3 linked regions of the Stegostoma tigrinum genome follow. The protein of the gene in region 1 purifies or fractionates together with the protein of each later gene. This does not show direct contact. Links are inferred from orthologs where the notes say so. Each region holds a gene or a part of one and is shown in the gene's direction. Other genes may lie near its edges. The genes, in order: snx4, snx7 and sorting nexin-30.

Evidence for each region.
Region 2: the proteins of snx4 (region 1) and snx7 purify together in Homo sapiens (affinity purification with mass spectrometry; 3 studies listed by BioGRID and IntAct, counting the BioPlex papers as one, with this or other methods). This does not show direct contact. The link is inferred for Stegostoma tigrinum from reciprocal best matches to the Homo sapiens genes SNX4 and SNX7.
Region 3: the proteins of snx4 (region 1) and sorting nexin-30 purify together in Homo sapiens (co-immunoprecipitation; 4 studies listed by BioGRID and IntAct, counting the BioPlex papers as one, with this or other methods). This does not show direct contact. The link is inferred for Stegostoma tigrinum from reciprocal best matches to the Homo sapiens genes SNX4 and SNX30.

What each region holds. Positions count from the first base shown.
Region 1 is NC_081360.1:66,184,598-66,191,555, reverse strand, and holds the start of snx4 (sorting nexin-4), read left to right. Parts: upstream 1-3,861; 5' UTR 3,862-4,039; intron 4,040-6,958. UniProt on the Homo sapiens protein: Involved in the regulation of endocytosis and in several stages of intracellular trafficking. Plays a role in recycling endocytosed transferrin receptor and prevent its degradation.
Region 2 is NC_081361.1:81,509,208-81,517,123, reverse strand, and holds the start of snx7 (sorting nexin-7), read left to right. Parts: upstream 1-4,820; 5' UTR 4,821-4,867; coding exon 4,868-4,987; intron 4,988-7,916. UniProt on the Homo sapiens protein: Involved in the regulation of endocytosis and in several stages of intracellular trafficking. Together with SNX4, involved in autophagosome assembly by regulating trafficking and recycling of phospholipid scramblase ATG9A.
Region 3 is NC_081356.1:32,264,379-32,272,228, forward strand, and holds the start of sorting nexin-30, read left to right. Parts: upstream 1-4,809; 5' UTR 4,810-4,830; coding exon 4,831-5,091; intron 5,092-5,097; exon of another isoform or gene 5,098-5,112; coding exon of another isoform or gene 5,113-5,157; intron 5,158-5,312; exon of another isoform or gene 5,313-5,438; coding exon of another isoform or gene 5,439-5,444; intron 5,445-5,536; exon of another isoform or gene 5,537-6,089; intron 6,090-7,850. UniProt on the Homo sapiens protein: Involved in the regulation of endocytosis and in several stages of intracellular trafficking. Together with SNX4, involved in autophagosome assembly.

The sequences.
Region 1 (6,958 bases):
GCCTCTCCAGATACTTTCACGTATTTGTAGGGGGCACAGGATGACTGGTTCAGACTTACAAGGTCTCTGACTTATTGGTTAAGAGCCACAGCTTACAGCAACTGATAACAGCACATAAACAGGCTTTCTTCAAGTTTGAGATTTTAACTACAGAGGAAAGGATCAGCTCCTTCCTTTCTGGAGGTCTAATGGTATTTGCGTAAACATTCACACCAAACAGATTTTCAGTCACCTGGGAGCCTTTCACATAGTTTTTGATCTTTTAACATTGACAACCAGTCACCAAACTGATCTCCTACTCTTCAGCTCCAGCTTATTTGCAATTAGAGTCTCCATTCCCCCTCACTCACTGCTGTATAAAGAGTGCTTACAGTGAGTGTCAGGCAAATTGCTTTTAAAATGAGCAGCAAGCCTTTGTTTTTAAAACAGTCCTTTTCCCAATTCAGTCCACAACCAGAAATACAACAATAAATATTTACTGGTCTTTGCATGGGGACAACGACAAGTTACGTGAGGAGGACACTGACAAGTTGGTGGAGTGGACAGACAGACGGCAGACGAAGTTCAACACTGAGATGTGGCAGTTCATGCGCTTTGGTAAAAAAAAGGAGAGACAATATGAAACAAAGGGTACTGTTCCACAAGGAGTGCAGGAGCAGAGGGATTTGAGTGTATATTTGCATAAATCATTAATGATGGCAGAGCAGGTAGAGAGACCTAATAATAAAGCATACAGTATTCACACGGGCATACAGTATCAGAGCATGGAGGCTACGCTTAACTATATAGGTCAGTGTTAGAAATCTCATGACACCAGGTTATAGTCCAACAGGTTTATTTGAAAACACAAGCTTTCAGAGCATCAGTCCTTCTTCAGGTGTTAGTGAAACAGGTAGAATTATACACAAAATTTACAAGTAAAAGATCAAATGTCTACACCATACTCGTTCAGTGTAAAGAAGAGTTGACATTTTACGTCAGTCAATGCATGTTAGGTATGAGGTCTTGCTTAGAATCTGCTTGTGTTTTAGTTTGGGGTCTAACTGGTCTTACTTCTAAAGTAGGAATTTATAAAAAGCCGAGCAGAGGCTGATAGCCAAGTTCGATACCAATGATGACGGCCTCAGCCGGGATCTTGCATTCATGTCGCACTACAGCTGACCGCTATACAATATACACTCTCTCACATACACTCACGCAGATCCTCTCTCATGCACAGTCTGTCTCTCAAGCATCTCTCTCTCTCCCCCACCCCCATCTCTCATACACATGCACACTCACACTCACTTTCACACAGACAAATCCAAGAGCTCATGGGGTGAATTTGTACTTGCACATACATTGTATTTTGTTCAAGAATAACACAATTTATAGACAGTCAGTCAATGTGGAGTTTTATACATTCCTACTTTAGAAATAAAACCAGTCTGACTCCAAACTAAAATAAACAGATCCTAAACAAGGCCAAGTAGCATCTTAGGAGCAGAAAAGCTGAAATTTCGGACCTAGACCCTTCATCAGAAAATGGGGAGGAGGAGAGGGTTTTGAAATAAATAGGGAGAGAGGGAGAGGCGATTGAAGATGGATAGAGGAGAAGATCGGTGGAGAGGAGACAGACGAGTTAAAGAGGTGGGGATGGAGCCAGTAGAGGTCAGTGTAGGTGGGGAGATAGGGAGGGGATAGGTCAGTCTGGGGAGGATGGACAGGTCAAGGGGGTGGAATGAGGTTAGTCGATAGGAAATGGGGGTGCGGCTTGAGGTGGGAGGAGGGGATAGGTGAGAGGAAGAACAGGTTAGGGAGGCGGGTTTTGGGACGCAGTAGTGGAGGGGAGATTTTGAAGCTTGTGAAATCCACATTGATACCACTGGGCTGTAAGGTTCCCCAGCGGAATATGAGTTGCTGCTCCTGCAACTTTCGGGTGGCATCGTTGTGGCATTGCAGGAGACCCAGGATGGACATGTTGTCTACGGAATGGGAGGGGGAGTTGAAATGGTTTGTGACTGGGAGGTGCAGTTGTTTATTGCGAACTGAGCGTAGGTGTTCTGCAAAGCTGTTCCCCAAGCCTCCGCTTGGTTTCCCTGATGTACAGGAGGCCACAACGGGTACAGCGGATGCAGTATACCACATTGGCAGATGTGCAGGTGAACATATGCTTGATGTGGAAAGTCTTCTTGGGGCCTGGGATGGGGGTGAGGGAGGAGGTATGGGGGCAATTGTAGCACTTTCTGCAGTTGCAGGGGAAGGTGCCAGGTATGGTCGGGTTGGAGGGGAGTGTGGAGCGGACAAGGGAGTCATGGAGACAGTGGTCCACCGGAAAGCAGACAAGGGTGGGGATGGAAAATTGTCTTTGGTGGTGGGGTCGGATTGCAGATGGCGGAAGCGTCGGAGGATGATGCGTTTGATCCGGAGATTGGTGAGGTGGTATGTGAGGACGAGGGGGATTCTCTTTTGGCAGTTATTGCGGGGATGGGGTGTGAGGGATGAGTCACGGGAAATGCAGGAGACACGATCGAGGGCGTTCTCGGCCGCTGCAGGGGAGAAGCAGTGGTTCTTGAAAAAAAGGACATCCGAGATGTACAGGAATGGAATGCCTCATCCTAGGAGAGATGCGGGGGAGGCGAAGGAATTGGAAATAGGGGATGGAATTTTTGCAGGAAGGCGGATGGGAGGAGGTGTATTCTAGGAAGCTGTGGGAGTCGGTGGGCTTGAAATGGATATCGGTTTCTCGGTGGTTGCCTCAGATGGAGCTTTTGTGCTCCTAAGATGCTGCTTGGCTTGCTGTGTTCATCCAGCTCCACGCTTTGTTATCTCAGATTCTCCAGTATCTGCAGTTCCCATTATCTGAGATTCTAAATAACCTAACGTTCATTGCCTGACCTAAAATGTCACTTCTCCTTTACACTGATGAAAACTTTAGTTCTCCCAGGACCATGACTTGGAAGGGAATTTGGCAATTTACATACACATGTTAATAAATTAAAACCTACTAACTGATTAAAGATAACAAGGTGTAGAGTTGGACGAACATAGCAGGCCAAGCAGCATCAGAGGAGCAGGAAAGCTAAAGGGTCTGGGCCCGAAACATCAGCTTTCCTGCTCCTCTGATGCTGCTTGGCCTGCTGTGTTCATCCAGCTCCACACCTTGTTATCTCAGATTCTCCAGCATCTACAGTTCCTGCTATCTCTAACTGATTGAGGACTTATCAGTATCTCAGTTTTGTTTAGTACATCCCCGTCAATGGGGAGAACCTTTGATATAAGGCAAAAAAAGACTTTTTACATAGCCAGTGGACCAGATTAGGTCAGGTCTGCCACAAGTGTGCTGGAGTTTGGATCAATGGAGACATTCACGAGGGCCTGAATAACTGTTTAAACAGGGAGGGGTAGGGTCAAAAGCAGAAGTTTGGCAATCAAGTTAAAATGCCCAAAGAGCCAGGGCAGATAAAATGGGGTGAATAATCTCCTTCTGCACATAATTGCTAACAGAAACAGAAATTGCCGGATAAGCTCAGCAGGTCCGGCAGATTCTGTGGATGAACATCAGGGTTAATGTTTCCGGTCGAGAAATTAGAAATAGGCATCCACCAACGTCCAAACCCCATGAAAGAATAAAACAAAACAATCTCTTTCGGCTGCGTCATACGTCCCGTTTCAAAGGGGGAGGAGAATATTTACTTCGCCCATGCGTCGCTTGTTCACACTTGCGCACCTCTTAATGACTCGGCTGTCGGAGCTTTGGAAAGAGATCTAGCGTGTACGCATGCGGGTGTGGGGACGTCCAAAAAAAGGACCTTAATGGCGCACGCGCTTGAATCCCGTGTCTTTCAATCAGCGGCACGTGATCTTTAGGTCCGCTCGTACGCTACGCATGCGCAGATGGTTCACGGAGGCCATCTTTAATGGCGGGCAGCGTGCCGGAGTCTTTTATTGTTTGATTTAGCATCCTTACACTACGTTCTGACAGTGTTCAATTCCTTCATTTGTTAGGGGTCAAGATAGACTTGACGTTGAGGTATTCCAATAGTGCATTCTCCTGCAGGTAACTGAACATAGATATCTATCGGAAAGTAGATGAACGGTCAATCGGTGTTTTTTTACTAAAAACTTCGATTGTGCGATTTTGGTATAATATGAGCGATCTTGGCAGTAGGCAGACTGAACTGGGTGCTAATGTTGGCCGGTATAGGGAAAAGCAAAGGTGAGTGTTGAATGGGTTTTGCCGTGGGTGGATCTGTGTGCCAGCTGGTCTGGGCTTACCTTTTAAACTCTCTAGCTACAAAGCTCAGCGTTGGGGCCGCCTGGAAAGAAGCTGTTGAAATGTCAAAAAAAAGCACTGACTTTCCAAGAACAAAACCAATCGGAGTCAAATGTCCTACTTTAAAACTTCGAATATTAATTTAACTAAGCAGATATTTATAGCAATAAAACCAAGCCAGCAAGAAACTGAAACGCAAACAAAACGTGCAGGAGAAACTCAGCAGCTCTGGTAGCAAGTGTAGAAAAAGCAGAGATAGTTTTAGAGTCCAGTGACTTTTTGTCAGGGGCAAGAGATAACATCCTTTAGCCCGAAATATTCCAACCTCTGTTGAAAGATTTTAGATTTAGTATTTGAACAGATTCTTAATAAGTAGCTTTGGAAGCATTTGTCATTAGTGGTTCTTAGAAAAAGCAAGGCATATTAAAACCAACATCTTTGGACATAATGCACTTATGTTGAGAATTTAATTGTCTAACTATGTTTTACTCTAAAGTACTTCTGTTGCTGTTAAATAACTTGAGTTTATTGGCAAGAATGCACTGAGAATTGAGGGACTTTTTTTCTCAATGGAAAGAGATGTTTGTCTCAAACCTCTGGCTTTAAAATGTTTAAAAAATCAAATCATCAAAAGAGAATGCAAAAGAATGTGTACCAACTAATGCTTATTTACAGTTTTGTTCCAAAAATTAGGAAGGTTTTAACAAAGTAAAATATTTGCCACAAGTGAACATTTATTCACTTTTTTCTTTGACTGAATGTAGTCTGTAAAGATTTTTTTTAGGGTGGGTGGGCATACTGGGTAAAGATCTGGTATTCTTGGTAGAAAATAAGAATAGAGATACAACTAAAATGAAACTTGCTTTGAAAATATTTTAAAACAAACATCCTCAGAAGAGCCAGTAGATTGAAAGGTTAGCACTACTGCCTCTTTGTGCCAGTGCCAGTGATCTGTGTTAGCTACCACCTTCTGGTGACGGCGTGTGGAGTTTGCACAATCTCCCCATGTCTGTGTGGGTTTTGACCAGTTGGTCAGGTTTCCTCCCACAGTCTGAAGATGTGCAAGCTAGGTGGATTGGTCATGCTAAATTGCCTATAGTATTTAGGGGTGTAGATGGGTTAAACATAGGAAATGCAGAGTTACTGGGCCTGTGTGGGATGCTCTTTTGGAGGGTCAGTCTGGACTCATTGGGCTGAGTGGCCTGTTTACACTTTAGTGATTCTGTGGAAGCTCACCTAAGCATCAAAAACATTTGGTAAACATTTTTTTTTCTTTTGAAATTACATGCTGGAAGAGGATCATGTGTCGATGCAGCCCATTGCTGTACTGTTCTGATTAGATTCTCATTGTCAGATGTTTGAGATGTTTTGTAATCCAGTCTGGTCAGATATTATAACACAGCTCTGGAGTAGGTTGGACTGGCTCAAGTAGTAACAATGCCTTTGGTACCAGAAGAACCCCTTTGTCAGGTCTTTTGCAGTCTAGTTTGCAACAATTAGGTGTTGTATAATTCTTCATTTGATGTGGCCTCCTCTGTTATTCTGTTTTTCTTGTCCACTTTTCTTCTAATGTTTAAACTAGACTGAGTTATGCATACTGTTTGCCTCGTCTGCTGTGAACTCCTTAATTTTGAGGAGCACAAATTTCAGAATATTTTCAGTGTTTGTCTGTATAATAAAACTGTGCACAGTGTGGTAAATTGCTGTACTTTGACATTAGTTTGATTTTCTTGATTTGCCGCTGGCATTGTTTCATAGACAATGTCTAAACCCTTAAACTCGTATAATAAACCTAAAGGAAATTATCTGGTCTGTATTCACCTGTCTGGTGGAGAATAATTTAAATGCAACATTAATTTTAGTAGCATCATTTGTGGATATGACTGGTATGTCTTGTCCATTTCAATTGTTTTTCAGAAAGTCATGTTAACTCATCTTGTTGAACAAAATCTATTTGGCTCTCTGGGCTATTTTTGAGTCTGCAGGAAGACTGATTTTCTTTCCCCCCTCTAAAGGATGTTTGTGAACGAGATGGATTTTTAACCAATGTTTTTTTTTTTTGTTGGTAGATGAGCCAGCATTTGCTGTCAGCCTGCTCAATGGCAGGCTGACAATGTTGAGCTGCCTTTTTGAACTACTGTAGTCCATTTGTAGACAGCTGCGTTCATAAAGCTGTTGGGGAGGGAGTTCCAATATTTTAACCAGTGATGCTGAAGGAGCAGCAATATATTTCCAAGTCCTGATGATGATGAGTGGCTTGGAGTGGATCTTGCAGCTGGTGGTGTACCTATGTATCTATTATCCTCATCTTTATAGATGAATGTGCTTGTGGATTTGGAAGTTATTGACTAAGCAGCGTTAGTGAGTTGTTGCTGTGCATCTTGTAGCTGGTGCACACTGCTGCTACTGAGTATTGGTAATAGATGGGGTGAATGTTTGTGGGTATAGTGTTAAATCAAGTGGATAGCGATGTCCTGAATGGTATCAAACTTCTTCGTCTTGTTGGAGCTGCATGTGTCCAGGTCATGAGGAGTATTCAGTCATGTGTGGCTTGTAGATGGTCAGAAGGTGAGTTATTTGCTACTGGGTAATGAGCCTCTGATATGCTCTTCAAGCTATTTATGTCTTGCCTAGTTCACTTTCTGGTATGTGGTAACCCTAGTATTTTGATAGTGAGGGATTCAGTGATGTTACTACCATTGA
Region 2 (7,916 bases), on another chromosome or scaffold:
TTAAAATTTGTAAGAGTAGGACCAAATTGAATGTTAGAATGATCTTAATTTCACATGGAAAAGGTAGATTTTGGAATCCATAGCCATATTCTTCATATCATATATAAAATACCACTTTAGCCCGTACAATCATTCCAGCTGGTTCGTGACTGCCTGCGTCATAGACGTGAGTGACTCTTAGTCAGGAAATTTCAAGGCCACTTTGACTATCATTGCCCTGCATATTTGCTTCCAATATTCTTGAGTTGATTTGTAGCTCGGGGTTGGATGCTGTGGTTGGTTTGCTCACTGAGCTGGTTCATTAGTTTGCAGACTTGTATTACCCTGCTGGGTAACATCATCAGTGCAGCCTCCAATGAAGCATAAATTAATTTTATCGAAAAGAGAGATTACTGCTGTAAAATTGCTGCTGCAATCATCTGATCACAGATTGAGGCACATCCAAGACACTAACATGGAATAAAACCATTTGAATTAAAGGTAACATTTGTCTAAAGGCCTTGAAACCATACAACTGAGCCAACATCAAGGAATTTGCATCTCCTGCTTTAATTCAAATTTGAATAATAAATGCAGCTATTAGACAAGAGTTCACTGACAGTGGAACCAGACATGGGAATTTAGCAATGAACCATATTTCAGTAGCTGCTTTAAGCGGCATAGAGAAGAAAAATGACTTTGAGAATGGTCTCATGTTAAAAATTTAACATCTCAATATCTCTAATAATGTTTAAAGCACATAGTCTTTATTCTTCCTGTATACACCAGACATTCTCCTTGTATAAATTATCATCTGGGTTCTGAGTCTTTGATGTTAAAATTTATTTATTTCTCAGGATTAGTAAATCAGAAAATTCCTCTTTTCTCAGTCAAGAAAACCTAAATTATTACAAGTGTTCTGTTGTAATTGAGGTGGGATACTTAGCTTCAAAAAGTGAAAATATGTTGCAAGTGGCCTGGTGAAGATTGCAAACAGGGAGATCAAATTACCTTTTCTCACCTGGTCAATACAAGCTGAAAACCAATTCAGGACCACTCCTGCCAACCCTGGGATCAAACTATAAACATCTTTTGATCATAAGTCCATCAGTCAGTGGTCAGCATTTAGCACCCCCAAGACTCCGCAGGAGGAGGCGAGGTGATCTTGTTCAGTGGCTCCTGAGAAGACTGTCAAAGTCAATTGGCAGATTGCCTCATCACCAAAACCTCTCAATAAGCACGAAGGAGTAGCATGGTTGGCAGTGAGATGGGCACTACCTGCGAGATCTTTTATGTAGTGCAAGATCTTTTATGTACGCCTGGAGTGTCTCTCTACCATAGCATTGTGCCCTTTAAGTGGGGGTGGAACTGTCAGACATCTCCTTCCTGATTATGCCTTTGCAAAGGAGATCTAGAGATAGGTGCAGTGGTTTTTTTTCAAGGTTTGCACTGAACAGCTCCATGATGCAGGACTCTATGCACTACGGTCTGTTCCCTGGGACACAGACCAAGACAAATATTGACTGCGCTGAGAAGACAAACAACTCGGTGAATGACACTCTTTGGTCTGCCTGAAACTTGTTGGTCTTTCAGTGCAAAGAGTTGACCTTGACCAAGTATTGCAGACTGGCACATTCCGAGGTCCAGGGCTACATGCTGAGGGACACAATAAAGCTTGGCCAGCTACTGCTAAGGTGCAGTGGGGAAAGATAACCATTTTTAAGGTCTTCCTGCCAAATTACAAGGGGATACATTCAGTTATCAGACCCTTCCAGTGCCTCAAATGTGCGTAAATATGGTTCTGTACAAGTAAGAAATGCTTTGGGTTTTTTGAATCTGCAGAACATACCAAATGCTGATATAGTGGGAACTGCCGATATCTGGAGAATCTGAGATAACACGGTGTGAAGCTGGATGAACACAGCAGGCCAAGCAGCATCAGAGGAGCAGGAAAGCTTGACGTTTCGAGTCGAGGCCCTTCTTCAGAAACCCGAAACGTCATACTTTCCTGCTCCTCTGATGCTGCTTGGCCTGCTGTGTTCATCCAGCTTCACACCGTGTTATGCCAAATACTGAGGCTTGTTATTCATGTGCAAGCACTGTGCAGAAATGCTTCAGCAACTTTGTATGTTTATAAAGATTATTTATGAATAAAACATATTTTTGCAACTCTGGGATCCTTTGCAATTTATGATTGCCTTTGAGTGAACAGTACTTTTGTTTTCCAGGAAGGTCCTAACTCTCCTGCAGCAGTGTTTCAGGGATTGGCCATGGAACTGCAAAGAATGGGTAAAGTTGGTACTACAGTCCGTCAAAATGAGCAGAGGAGAATGATAACCTGTTAATCACAATGGTCTTAATAAAGGTTTCAGACTTTATGTGAACCTCCATAGAATATTGAACTCATTATCGAGGCCATAATGCTCTTCTTGTTCATATTGACTTTTAAAACAGCAACTCAAGCTGGTATAAGATAACAAAGTGTGGAGCTGGATGAACACAGCAGGCCAAGCAGCATCTCAGGACCACAAAAGCTGACGTTTCGGGCCTAGACCCTCCATCAGAAAAGGGGGAGGGGGAGAGGATTCTGAAATAAATAGGGAGAGAGGGGGAGGCGGACTGAAGATGGATAGAGGAGAAGATAGGTGGAGAGGAGAGTATGGGTGGGGAGGTAGGGAGGGGATAGGTCAGTCCGGGTAGGACGGACAGGTCAAGGGGGCGGGATGAGGTTAGTAGGTAGGAAATGGAGGTGTGGCTTCATGAGGGAGGAGGGAATAGGTGAGACGAAGAACAGGTTAGGCAGGCTGGGACGAGCTGGGCTGGTTTTGGGATGCAGTGTGGGGATGGGAGATTTTGAAACTGGTGAAGTCCACATTGTTACCATTGGGCTGCAGGTTTCCCAAGCGGAATATGAGTTGCTGTCCCTTCAACTTATGAGTGACATCATTATGGCACTGCAGGAGGCCCAGGATGGACATGTCATCTAAGGAAAGGAGGGGGAGTTGAAATTGTTCGCGACTGGGATGTGCAATTGTTTACTGCGAACCGAGTGTCAGTGTTCTGCAAACTGGTCCCCAAGCCTCTGCATGGTTTCATGTCCTCCTCGGACTGACCTATCCCCTCCCTACCTCCCCACCCATACTCTCCTTTCCACCTATCTTCTCCTCTATCCATCTTCAGTCCGCCTCCCCCTCTCTCCCTATTTATTTCAGAATCCTCTTCCCATCCCCCTTTTCTGATGAAGGGTCTAGGCCTGAAATTTCAGCTTTTGTTCTCCTAAGATCCTGCTTGGCTGCTGTGTTCATCCAGCTCCACACTTTGTTATCTTGGATTCTCCAGTATCTGCAGTTCCCATTATCTCTCAACTCAAGCTGGTGTCAATTTTCCTGTCTTTACCAAGTAATGTCCGAGGTAGTTGGCCTCCTGGAACTTCTCATCTTTGGAACCATGCTATTTTTAGTTGAGAACAAAGTACAGGGATTTTTGGAGATCCTTAGTGGGTCTGGTGATTTCTGTGGAGACAGTGCAGAGTTGATGTTTCAGATCCAGTGGCCCTTCTACAGAACCCTTCTCTATTTTGAGTTTGATGTTGTTTAATGAGGAAGGGCTAATTAATGGTGTCCCTGTGAAGAATCTTTTTGGGAAACAGTGACCACAACTTAGAAAAGTAGAAAATAACTGCAGGAATAGGCCCTTCAAGCCTGCAATACCATTTGATACTATCAAGGCTGATTGTGCAATTTCAGCATCCCATTCCCACTTTCTGTCCATACCCCTTGATCCCTTTGGCTGCAAGGGCCACGTCTAGCTCCCTCTTGAATATATCCAATAAACTAACTATAACAGCTTCCTGTGGGAGAGAATTTCACAGGTTCACAAATCTCTGAGTGGAGGAATTCTTCCACAGCTTGGTCTTAATGGCTGACTCCTTATTCTAAAGACTAAGACCCCTAGTTCTGCACTTCCCCAACATCGAGATTCTTCCCCCAAATAGCTTGTACAGACCCATCAAGATTTTATGTTTTGATAAGATTTCCCTCCCTCATTCTTCTAAATTCCAGCAAGTACAGCCCTGTCAATCCAGTCTTTCTTCATATGTCAACCCTGCCATCCCCCGAATCAGGATAGCCCATGTCTTTTTCCCACGGCACAGATGTCCAAAACTAGACAACATAGGTTTAAGGTGAGCAAGGAAAGATATAAGATGGACCTAAGGGGCATTTTTTTGAAGCTGAAGATGCTGTGTGTAGGGTCATAAGCTGCCAGTGAAGTGCTGGAGGCTCGTACTATTACAACCTTTAAAAGGCATCTGGATGGGTATATGAACAGGAAAGGAATAGAGCGATATGAGCCAAATGCTGGTAAAGGGGACCAGACTAATTTAGGATATCTGGTTGGCATTTTGTCCGAAGTGTCTGTTGTCATGCTCCACCACTCAATGACAATTGTGAAATGCCCATGGTATTAGCGTAGAGATAATGGGAACTGCAAATGCTGGAGAATCCGAGATAACAAAGTGTGGAGCTGGATGAACACAGCAGGCCAAGCAGCTCCTAAGATGCTGTGTTCATCCAGCTTCACACTTCGTTATCCGGTATTAGCATAACTGAGTCTGAGAAGGGGGTCAGGCACAGGTCTGGGTCTTGGCTGTGAGGTTGGGGGGGAAGGGAGGAGGACCGCAGGAGGTGAGGGGGCGGGGTCAGTCCGCGGGGAGTCAAAGGGCGGGGTCAGCCCATGTCTTGCCCCGTGGGTGAGGCGTCTTGGGTGAAAGGGCGGGGTCAGTGCGTAGCCGAACCGGCCCATGAGGGGGCGGGGCCGAGCGGCAGGGCGGGTGAGGGGGCGGGGCGTAGGTCGGGCTGACACATCAGCGGCTGTTGAACTGAGGGCGATGGAAAGTACGCCTTTGGCCGGCGGTAAAACTTCGAAAGCGGCCGCTCCTCACCCGCTGTCTAAGGACGTGCTGGGTTTTGAGGATGACGAGGACGATGACTTGGAGGTGTTCAGTAAGGTTAGTTTCTCTGCCCCTCCCCCCGCCCAGTACCGGAGCCCTCTCCAACTCCCCAATTAAAGTTTAGTGTAGGCGTCGGTACCGCCGACCCACCGCAGCCTGTACACTGGGGCTTGTGCCGCCGCCAAGGATCTGCTGCGATGTGAATGTGGAAACTCTTCCAAGAGAGAATTGACTTGCGGCCCTTTTTAAAGCAGTGATTTTTGTTTACACACACACTCTCGACTCTCCACTGTATCTGTCTCTTCCTTCCCAGGCGGAGCCATTCTTTATTGTTTTATTTCTGCAAACGCAATAAAACAATCAGCACAGTTTGTTGTTTAACTGCCGCATTCCATGAAAATTGGGGATTGGGAGTTTTCTGCTGCAGTCGCAGGGAGAGACTTGATGTCAATGCTTAGCAAACACCTATGCCGTGAGTGAATTCAAGTCCAGACTGCACACCCCCCGGTTGTCTGACTTTGGATTATGAGGGAGAGGGGAAAGTTCCCACTCCTTTGAAGTGCTTTTAGTTTTGAGAACTAGATAAATTGAGCCTTTTTTTTAAAAAAGCCATTTTGCCTAGATAAACTGTTTTACATATGTGCCTAGGCATGTACAAAGTAATCTACTCAATCTCGAGATAATAAAATGTGAGGCTGGATGAACACAGCAGGCCAAGCAGCATCTCAGGAGCACAAAAGCTGACGTTTCGGGCCGAGACCCTTCATCAGAGAGGGGGATGGGGGGAGGGAACTGGAATAAATAGGGAGAGAGGGGGAGGCGGACCGAAGATGGAGAGTAAAGAAGATAGGTGGAGAAGGTGTGGGTGGGGAGGTAGGGAGGGGATAGGTCAGTCCAGGGAAGACGGACAGGTCAAGGAGGTGGGATGAGGTTAGTAGGTGGCTGGGGGTGCGGCTTGGGGTGGGAGGAAGGGATGGGTGAGAGGAAGAACCGGTTAGGGAGGCAGAGACAGGTTGGACTGGTTTTGGGATGCAGTGGGTGGGGGGGAAGAGCTGGGCTGGTTGTGTGGTGCAGTGGGGGGAGGGGATGAACTGGGCTGGTTTAGGGATGCAGTGGGGGAAGGGGAGATTTTGAAACTGGTGAAGTCCACATTGATACCATATGGCTGCAGGGTTCCCAGGCGGAATATGAGTTGCTGTTCCTGCAACCTTCGGGTGGCATCATTGTGGCAGTGCAGGAGGCCCATGATGGACATGTCATCAAGAGAATGGGAGGGGGAGTGGAAATGGTTTGCGACTGGGAGGTGCAGTTGTTTGTTGCGAACTGAGCGGAGGTGTTCTGCAAAGCGGTCCCCAAGCCTCCGCTTGGTTTCCCCAATGTAGAGAAAGCTGCACCGGGTACAGTGGATGCAGTATACCAAATTGGCAGATGTGCAGGTGAACCTCTGCTTAATGTGGAATGTCATCTTGGGGCCTGGGATGGGGGTGAGGGAGGAGGTGTGGGGACAAGTGTAGCATTTCCTGCGGTTGCAGGGGAAGGTGCCGGGTGTGGTGGGGTTGGAGGGCAGTGTGGAGCGAACAAGGGAGTCACGGAGAGAGTGGTCTCTCCGGAAAGCAGACAGGGGTGGGGATGGAAAAATGTCTTGGGTGGTGGGGTCGGATTGTAAATGGCGGAAGTGTCGGAGGATAATGCGTTGTATCCGGAGGTTGGTAGGGTGGTGTGTGAGAACGAGGGGGATCCTCTTGGGGCGGTTGTGGCGGGGGCGGGGTGTGAGGGATGTGTCGCGGGAAATGCGGGAGACGCGGTCAAGGGCGTTCTCAATCACCGTGGGGGGGAAGTTGCGGTCCTTAAAGAACTTGGACATCTGGGATGTGCGGGAGTGGAATGTCTTATCGTGGGAGCAGATGCGGCGGAGGCGGAGGAATTGGGAATAGGGGATGGAATTTTTGCAGGAGGGTGGGTGGGAGGAGGTGTATTCTAGGTAGCTGTGGGAGTCGGTGGGCTTGAAATGGACATCAGTTACAAGCTGGTTGCCTGAGATGGAGACTGAGAGGTCCAGGAAGGTGAGGGATGTGCTGGAGATGGCCCAGGTGAACTGAAGGTTGGGGTGGAAGGTGTTGGTGAAGTGGATGAACTGTTCGAGCTCCTCTGGGGAGCAAGAGGCGGCGCCGATACAGTCATCAATGTACCGGAGGAAGAGGTGGGGTTTGGGGCCTGTGTAGGTGCGGAAGATGGACTGTTCCACGTGACCTACAAAGAGGCAGGCATAGCTGGGGCCCATGCGGGTGCCCATGGCCACCCCCTTAGTCTGTAGGAAGTGGGAGGAGTCAAAAGAGAAGTTGTTGAGTGTGAGGACGAGTTCCGCTAGGCGGATGAGAGTGTCGGTGGAGGGGGCCTGGTCGGGCCTGCGGGACAGGAAGAAGCGGAGGGCCTTGAGGCCATCTCCATGCGGAATGCAGGTGTACAGGGACTGGACGTCCATGGTGAATATGAGGTGTTGGGGGCCAGGGAATTGGAAGTCCTGGAGGAGGTGGAGGGCGTGGATGGTGTCACGGACATAGGTGGGGAGTTCCTGGACCAAAGGGGAGAAAATGGAGTCCAGATAGGTGGAGATGAGTTCGGTGGGGCAGGAGCAGGCTGAGACGATGGGTCGACCAGGGCAGGCAGGTTTGTGGATTTTGGGAAGGAGATAGAAACGGGCCGTGCGGGGTTGGGGAACAATGAGGTTGGAGGCTGTGGGTGGGAGGTCCCCTGAGGTGATGAGGTCATGAATGGTGTTGGAGATGATGGTTTGGTGCTCGGGTGTGGGGTCATGATCGAGGAGGCGGTAGGAGGTGGTGTCGGAGAGTTGGCGTCTGGCCTCGGCGATGTAGAGGTCAGTACGCCATACTACCACTGCGCCACCCTTGTCTGCGGGTTTGATGGTGAGGTTGGGGTTGGAGCGGAGGGCTGCCCGTTCTGCGGGGGAGAGGTTGGAGTGGGTGAG
Region 3 (7,850 bases), on another chromosome or scaffold:
CACTCTGATTCCTCTTCTGAGTAGTCTTTATGATATAAATCCTTAATTGTCTCAACTTTTTGTTGTAATTCCATTAATCTTTCAGAACCAAACACCTCTGCCTGATCCTCATAGGTTCTTACTTTACCATCTCAACAAACAGGTTATCAGCTAAGTGGACCTCAACTCCATCATCTTTCTCTTTTGTTTCCCCTTTTTGTTTTAACTTACGACTACGGGGTCTTGTTACCACACAGTCTGGAAAAATCCCAGGCTATTTTTCTTTTAAATATTCAGCTCCCTGGTTTTCTTCTGGCTTTTCCACAACAATGGGCTTCACTCCCACCTGTGATCCAGCAATATGGTTTCCAAGAATAAACTGTATTCCTGGAATAGAGATAATGGGAACTGCAGATGCTGAAGAATGCAAGATAATAAAGTGTGAAGCTGGATGAACACAGCAGGCCAAGCAGCATCTCAGGAGCACAAAAGCTGACGTTTCGGGCCTAGACGCTTCATCAGAGACTCTAGGCCCGAAACGTCAGCTTTTGTGCTCCTGAGATGCTGCTTGGCCGGCTGTGTTCATCCAGCTTCACACTTTATTATCTTGTATTCCTGGAATAGCCAATTTTTCCATCACTCACACTATTGCTTTCCCAGTCTTGACTGGACTTTCTAGCCTTATTTTACACAGGGGAACACTACTCCTTTCTCCATTTATTCCACATTTTACCACTCTCTTGGGCAATATTTCAGAAGAAATATAAATATTTTCATCTCTTTTCATCAGACTGACTACCTTCCTTACCTTCAATATTTTAACTTCTTTACTTTTTCCTCAGTTCTACCTGAGTTGAAGTCTTTGAAAAAGTTGGGCACTATCTTACTATCTAGCCTGTGAGTAGGCTGTACACTGTCCTGCAGCCCCTTGATTTCCCTTGGGATTTCCTTCACTATCTCAACTAATCCCACTGATTCAGCTTCTTCTACCACATCCTTTTCCCCACTGCCTTTCTTAATCCGTTAACTCTGTGACTTGGTGTGTCCCACCCTATTGCAGTGAATCCACCTGAGATCTTGCACCTCTTTTTCACCCTCTTGGGTTTCTTTTTCATATGTGGTAAACTGTTTCCAGTGTGATCTACTTCTTGTTGTTCATTGAACCATCTCCCTCTTTCCCAATTTCTATCCATCACAGAATGAAGTTGCTCGCAAAAGCTAGATTTTGTTTTATGCATAAATAAATATTCATCTGCCATCTCTGCAGCTCTTCTCGCTGTTTTAACTTTCTGTTCCTCAACATGAGTTCTTATCATTTCTGGAATTGAGTTTTTAAACTCCTCCCAGCAGAATATCTCTAAGATCCTCATGTGTCTTTGCTACCTTTAATGCTTTCACCATCTATCAAAGTTGCTCTGCTAAAAATACTTTCAAACTCGATATAAGTCTGACCTGGTTCCTTTCTTACATTTCTGGTACCAATTCGTAGGTACACAAAATAGCCTGTTTTACTTCTTTATACGTTCCTGATACTTCCTCTGAGAGCGCTGCTCACACCTCACCAGTGCTGTCTACCAAATTAGTCTGAATTAACGTTACCCACACAGTCTCTGGCCAGTTCCTCTGTTTAGTCAATTTCTCGAAGGAAATAAAAGAAAGCTTCTACATCTTTTTGATCACATTTTGGTAAGGTTTGGACATATTTAAATATATCCATACCAGGCCTTTGGTTACAATGGGTATGCTCATCATCACTATCCTTCTCACTAAGTCCACCTTCTACCTTCACCTCCATCCTGTTACGTTGGCTTCCCTGTCTGTCACCTTCTGAAGGTCAAAGTCTCTCTCTCTCCCCATCTCCCTCCTTTTCGTTTTGTTCAGCTACAAACCTTCTTTCCCTTTCTTTGTCCTCTAACTCCAGGGTCTCATTTGCAATTTAATTTTTTTCTAACTCTACTGCACTTAACTGTTTCTCTGATATACCTAAATTCTTGACTAACTCCGTCACAATTTCAATTTTCTTATTATCCCAAGTGAAACCCAATTTTAGCCTGTCTACTAATTCTAAAAGTGTCACCGTCTTCTGTCTTTCTAAATTTTTTTGGCAAATTTGGGAAGCATCTTTGACCCCGAAAACCTCTTTAGCATTGTTAAGAGCTATTTTACCAACAACAAGCAACCAACATTAAGCAGATTTTTCACTTTCACTTACATTGTATTTAAAGATCAAGGATACTGGTCCTCAATTCTGTTTAAATCTGCTGGGACCTTTCATACTCTAAATCTGTTCGAATCTGTCCAAGTCTGTTCATTTCTGCCAAATCCTGAACAAACCTCCACTTTTTTATAAAGCAGAGGTTGATTCCCCTCTGAGAGCTAAAACTGAAACACCCAAAGAGGAGCACCTCATTATATAATCTGTGAAAAGAGTGTGTAAAGTGGTATGACCTGCCTTTCAGCAACTTCCAGTGGTTAAATAAAATAAATCCCTGACAGTTGCTTAAAAATCAACAAGTAACAATTCATTTACCTAATTCTAACAGTGAATGAATCAATTAAACTATTAACAAACTCCCTTCTAACTACTAACTATTCCCAAAAAAAATTCTCATGGTATGCTATTCTAATAAAAGACCCACTTGTATAAATTTAAAATAGAGTTTAGACTCTCAGCATTATAACCAGGTTACGTGTCTTCTGGAATGTTCTGTGCTTTCTCCATTGATTATTCAGTCAGGAATGCCTTCTCTGTTGATGCTTCTGTCAGAAATATTAACTAGTTGTGCCGTGGGTACTTTGTTATTTAGATGGTGCTTTCCCTAAGACATAGATGAGGCTATGAGAGCCAGTGATTCTGACTCGAGGGCTGAGGGCTGTTAGCTCTGGCGAATGGCAGTTAGCTCTCTGGGTTTTGTCCAACTGCTCCCTTTTTATACCCTTGATAGCTTATCAATATTTCTTACAATAGGGTTGGTCCCTATGATGTCAAAACCATCAAATTTAATAGGTTTTTTGGGATCTAAGTGCCTGGTTCAAATTAATTGGCTAAATTTTAAAGCTTGTTGTTTTGGTAAAAACTGCTGCCTAGCCTGCTACTGTACAGCCTTTTGATACAAATGTTTCAATTCGGATGATCTCTGTGAACTTGCAAATATTTAAACTGCCACTCGCAGACATCCATTTAACTCTCTAAGCACAGAAAAAGCACATAATCTTTTAAAGGGACCATGCGGTGCTTTCCCGCCCTAGCATTTTACTAACACCAAATTCTAACTTCCTGCATCCCATTCCAGAAGTACTCTACTGAACTTCACAAGTGAATGGGAAAATTGTATCTTTACCACCTTTAAAAGGATTTATCCTGAATGTGCTGGGTCATTGTCATCTGCTGTCCTTCAACTTGAGGTCAATGCCTACTCTTTCTGTCATGAATCCCCATATCACTGTGCAGGCCAGTGCTTAACCTGCAGATCTTTGGATACATAGAGGAGGATATCATTAAGTCACACTTCTTTCCATCTCTGTTGCTGCTCTGTTCAAATGGTGTGCTGATAATCAACAAGTTCAAACTAAACAAAGTGACTTGAAATGGACGAAAAAAAAGGTTACAACCGGAGAACAATCTATCTCTCCAAATCCTGTGAAGGCAATCTTCAGTTGCAGGATTAAGATAAATAATTGAAACAAGGTGAAAAGATGATCAGACAGAAAAAGGACACGAGCAACAGTTGCTGAAGTATTACTTATGCAGTAGCATAACAGTACAAGAGAAGTCAAATATTAGATGAGAACTAGAGAAGTAATAAGCACATTCACAGCTGAGGATAAATATTTGGAAAACAAAGAGACTTGAATTTGTATAACTTTCACAAGCAATGGATGTCTCAAAGTGCTTCATAGCCGATTATATACTTATGGAGTGTAGTCACTGTTGCAACAATTTGTGCACAGGACATTCCCACTATCAGGAATATGATAACATTTAGATAACCTATTTTTGTGATGTTGTTTGAAGGTATAAATGTTGGCCAGGGCATAAGGGATCACTCTCCATTGGTTCTTTGAAAAAAAAGTCACATGGTCTTTTACATTCATTGAGGACACAAATGGCTTCTCATCAGATTCAAATATGAGATCCCAACATTACCATTTAGGAGTGGCAGTCTTGATTTGTGTGTTCAAACTCTGAAGTGGTCCTTGTACCTGAAACCCTACACTGCAGAAGCCAGTCTACTACCAGCTAAGCCATGGAAGTCAACCATCTAAACGATCATTTCATTCAACTGTGTGCAGGGATTACATTCGATTAAATTTTTGGCCTCGAGTCATTCAGTACATTAAAGGCGCTATACAAATGCAAGCTTTTTTTGTTTTCGACATTACAATAGTACTGTACAAGACGTTCTGAGTACTTAAAGCATTCCCTGTTATAAATTTTACATAAATGCAAGTCTGTCCAATACATCTTTTTGATACATTTCACTTTTCCCACTCTTCCTCTGGGTCCGAAACGGTTTTTGTTCCCAAGGGCCAGCAGCACCACTCTCATTGCACGCCACCTGGCGGCGAGGAAGAGTCCACCGTCGCTCGCCTGCTGGCGCCACCCTGTGGTGCGGCGGAACGAGGGGCGTGTGGAACAAACAAAGAGTCAGGGGACAGTCGGGTGTAGACAAGAGCCGACGTGACGGTTGCGGCAGCAGCTGAGCGACGCTCCAGCGCCTCCTGCCGTGCCGGCGGAGAGGAGGGAAACGGATTCCCGGCCCATGCGCAGTGGCGGGGCTGCTCAAGCGTGTGTGGGGGTGGGGTGGGGCGGGGAGAAGGAGGCGGAGCTGGACCGGTGGTTTTTTTTAAATGGAGGCGGTAGAGAAACGGCGAGAAGGTGGGGCGGCGGTAGCAGTACTGGGGGGAGGCGAAGGAGGCAGCGATTCCGTAACGATGAGCTCGGCGCTTTGCAGACCGTTACCGTCCTCGGGGCTCAAGTCTATCTGCGACGTGTCGCATCCGCTGTCGGCGGAGGAGCTGTTGTCCCCCGGGCCCGAGCCTCAGCCTCAGCCTGAGCCTGAACCCGAACCCGGATCGGGAGCCGAGCCGGCGGCTAGCGGAGGGGACCAGGTGAGGGAGGGCCCCGTAACCATGGGAGACCGGCAGGGGAAGGAGAAGGATGTCGTGAGGACTGTGGTAATAGTAATGAGCATGGGATGAGTGGGGCGGGGGGGGCGCTGTAGCGTGTTTGGGGACCTGGGACTGTATGAGGAGTGTAGGGTGTGTCCTGGAGGAAAGGGTAGAGGTCGTGGTAATTGGGTGGGGAGGGGGAAGTAAAGGAGCAGGGGATATGGGCCCCGTGGGGGAAGAAAGATGGCTGTAGTGGGTCGATGAGGAGAGATAGGGGATGGGTGATAGTGTTGTGTTTTATGCGGTTGCATAGGGATTGATAGTGTTGGCCGTGTGTTTGTTTGATTATGTGGGTGAGTGGGTTTGTTTATGGCGGGGGGCTGATGGCTTGGGGGTGCCTTGAGGTGGTTTTGTTTTGTGGGTGGGGATATTGGAATGATGTGTGGTCTGTGGTTATGGATACAGTAGGTATGGTTTAGTTGATGGGGTGAGGAGAAATTGGGATTTGGGGGAATGTGGGATGTTTGGGATTGATGGAGTAGGGTTTTCTAGGATTCTCTTCCATCAATAGTGCATAGATCAATATTTTGCATTTCTAATAGCATCATTTTGGAAATGAATACTCAAAGATTTGGGTGACCCCCTGCAGTTGTAGGTGTGCAAATGCACCTGGGTAAAAGCAGGCTGAACTTGAGAGTAGGCAAGGATGTTTGAAAATGTTTAGTAGTGCAGTGAGATTACATGTGACTGCAGGAGTTGCATTTTCCTGTTCGATAGGGGATCTTTCAGTTTACCTGTGTGGAGAGAGAAAAGGTCAATACTTAAGGGTGATCTGTTTTCTGCCTGGAATTTGGCAGGCAATCCATTTGGTGATTGGTTGAAGTATAGGTTTTGGCCCCAGGACACAACTAGTGCTTGAAATAGAGCAGCTGAGTTTCCACGTTCACTGGGGATACCTCTGTTTAATATCTCATCAGGAGTGTGGTTCTTTGAGTGAGGTAAAAACTGAGTGTCAGCCTTTCTTTCTATCCAAGCTCAAATCTTTACTACAGGTGTTGATCTAGTCTTCTGATTCAGAAGCAAACATGTTGCTCACAGGCCCACAGCTGTATGTGCTGTTTTACTTCCTCATTATTTTTCTTGCAGCCCATGACAAGAGGTCAGCAATCTGAAAGTATTTTCTCTTGAAACTAATTATCTGAATAACTGTTCAGCAGTAGCCAATAGATTTGCAGTTTGCAATGCCATAGATACTTACGTTTTGAAGTTTACCTGCATTTTCCTTGTGTTTCTGCTTCGGATTCCTCTCTGTTTGCACAGAGGGCTCTTTGTCATGTAAAGTTAAATGAATCTGAACATTTTACTTTTTTCCCAAGGTGCTGTGAATCATTTAGTCTCTGGTATTCTATCTCTCATGCATGTTAAATTAAGTACTGATTTGGAAATCTATCTCTTCCTTTATGATACTCTTCTTCACCACCAACCTCTGATCCCCTCAGCCACTTATTCCTAACATGCATGTGAAAATCTGATCAGTCCTGTTTACGTTAGTTGGTGTTCATTCTGGATGTGAGATTGCTCGCTGAGCTGGAAGGTTAGTTTTCAGACGTTTCGTCACCACTCTAGGTAACATCATCAGTGAGCCTCCGACAAAGCGCTGGTGTTATGTCCCGCTTTCTATTTATCTGGTTAGGTTTCCTTGGGGTGGTGATGTCATTTCCTGCGTTTTTCCAAGGAAACCTAACCAGATAAATAGAAAGCGGGACATAACACCAGCGCTTTGTCGGAGGCTCACTGATGATGTTACCTAGAGTGGTGACGAAACGTCTGAAACTAACCTTCCAGCTCAGCGAGCAATCTCTCATCCAGAACCTCAACCTGAGCTACAAATCTTCTCAAAACTCACTTGGTGTTCATTGTTCACCCTTTTTCTGTCAGTAAAGGAAAATGGTTAACAATTTTCTGTTAACCTCTTTACAGCAGTTTAGCACATGATAAAGAATGTCTTGTAGAAAAGCCAGGAGTTTTTTTCACTTTCTCAATTATAATATAACATCCCACATGTCATGCTTTCATGTCATCTCTAGTAAAGGTATACATGATGCCTTGTGGTTATATTTGGGACAGTTTTCTCCTTTTGCATTTTTAAATTGTAGTAATTATTGATCATTTTACTCAGTGTCCTCATTTCACATTATCTGTTGGCTTTGCAGACTTTATAATTCTTCAACTCAACTCCTCTGGATGTCTTTTATAGCTGTGCTATTCATGTTTGGTTTTGTCTAAGCTTTGGAACCCTCCCCTTGCTATTTTTAAGATGTTCTTGGGAGGGGGGGGAAAAAAAAACTATTCCCTTAGCAAACCTTTGGCCACTTGTCTGGGTCTTCCTTAGTGATTTGGTCATTGACAATGCTCCTGCCAAATGCTCTTGGATGCTTGCTGTGTTGGAGGTGCTTTGTGAGTTGCCACAGAAACTGGGGTGTTAAAATGGTGTCATTATAGTTTTGGCCATGAGTTCATACATTCTTTTGCAAGATAGGCAGTAATATTCCAAAATTCACATTGAGATTACTTCAACATCAGTAGTAGTCGTAAGTTAATGGAGTTCAGCTGATGACTAGAAATATTGACAACAAGTATGCAATCTAAGGTTTTAGTCTAGTGCAGTACCATATGTTTGCACTTTGATTTATTGGAAGAATTTTTACATCTGGTCCACATGAATGTTTAAAAATGGATTTTTTGCAGGATCTCTCTTC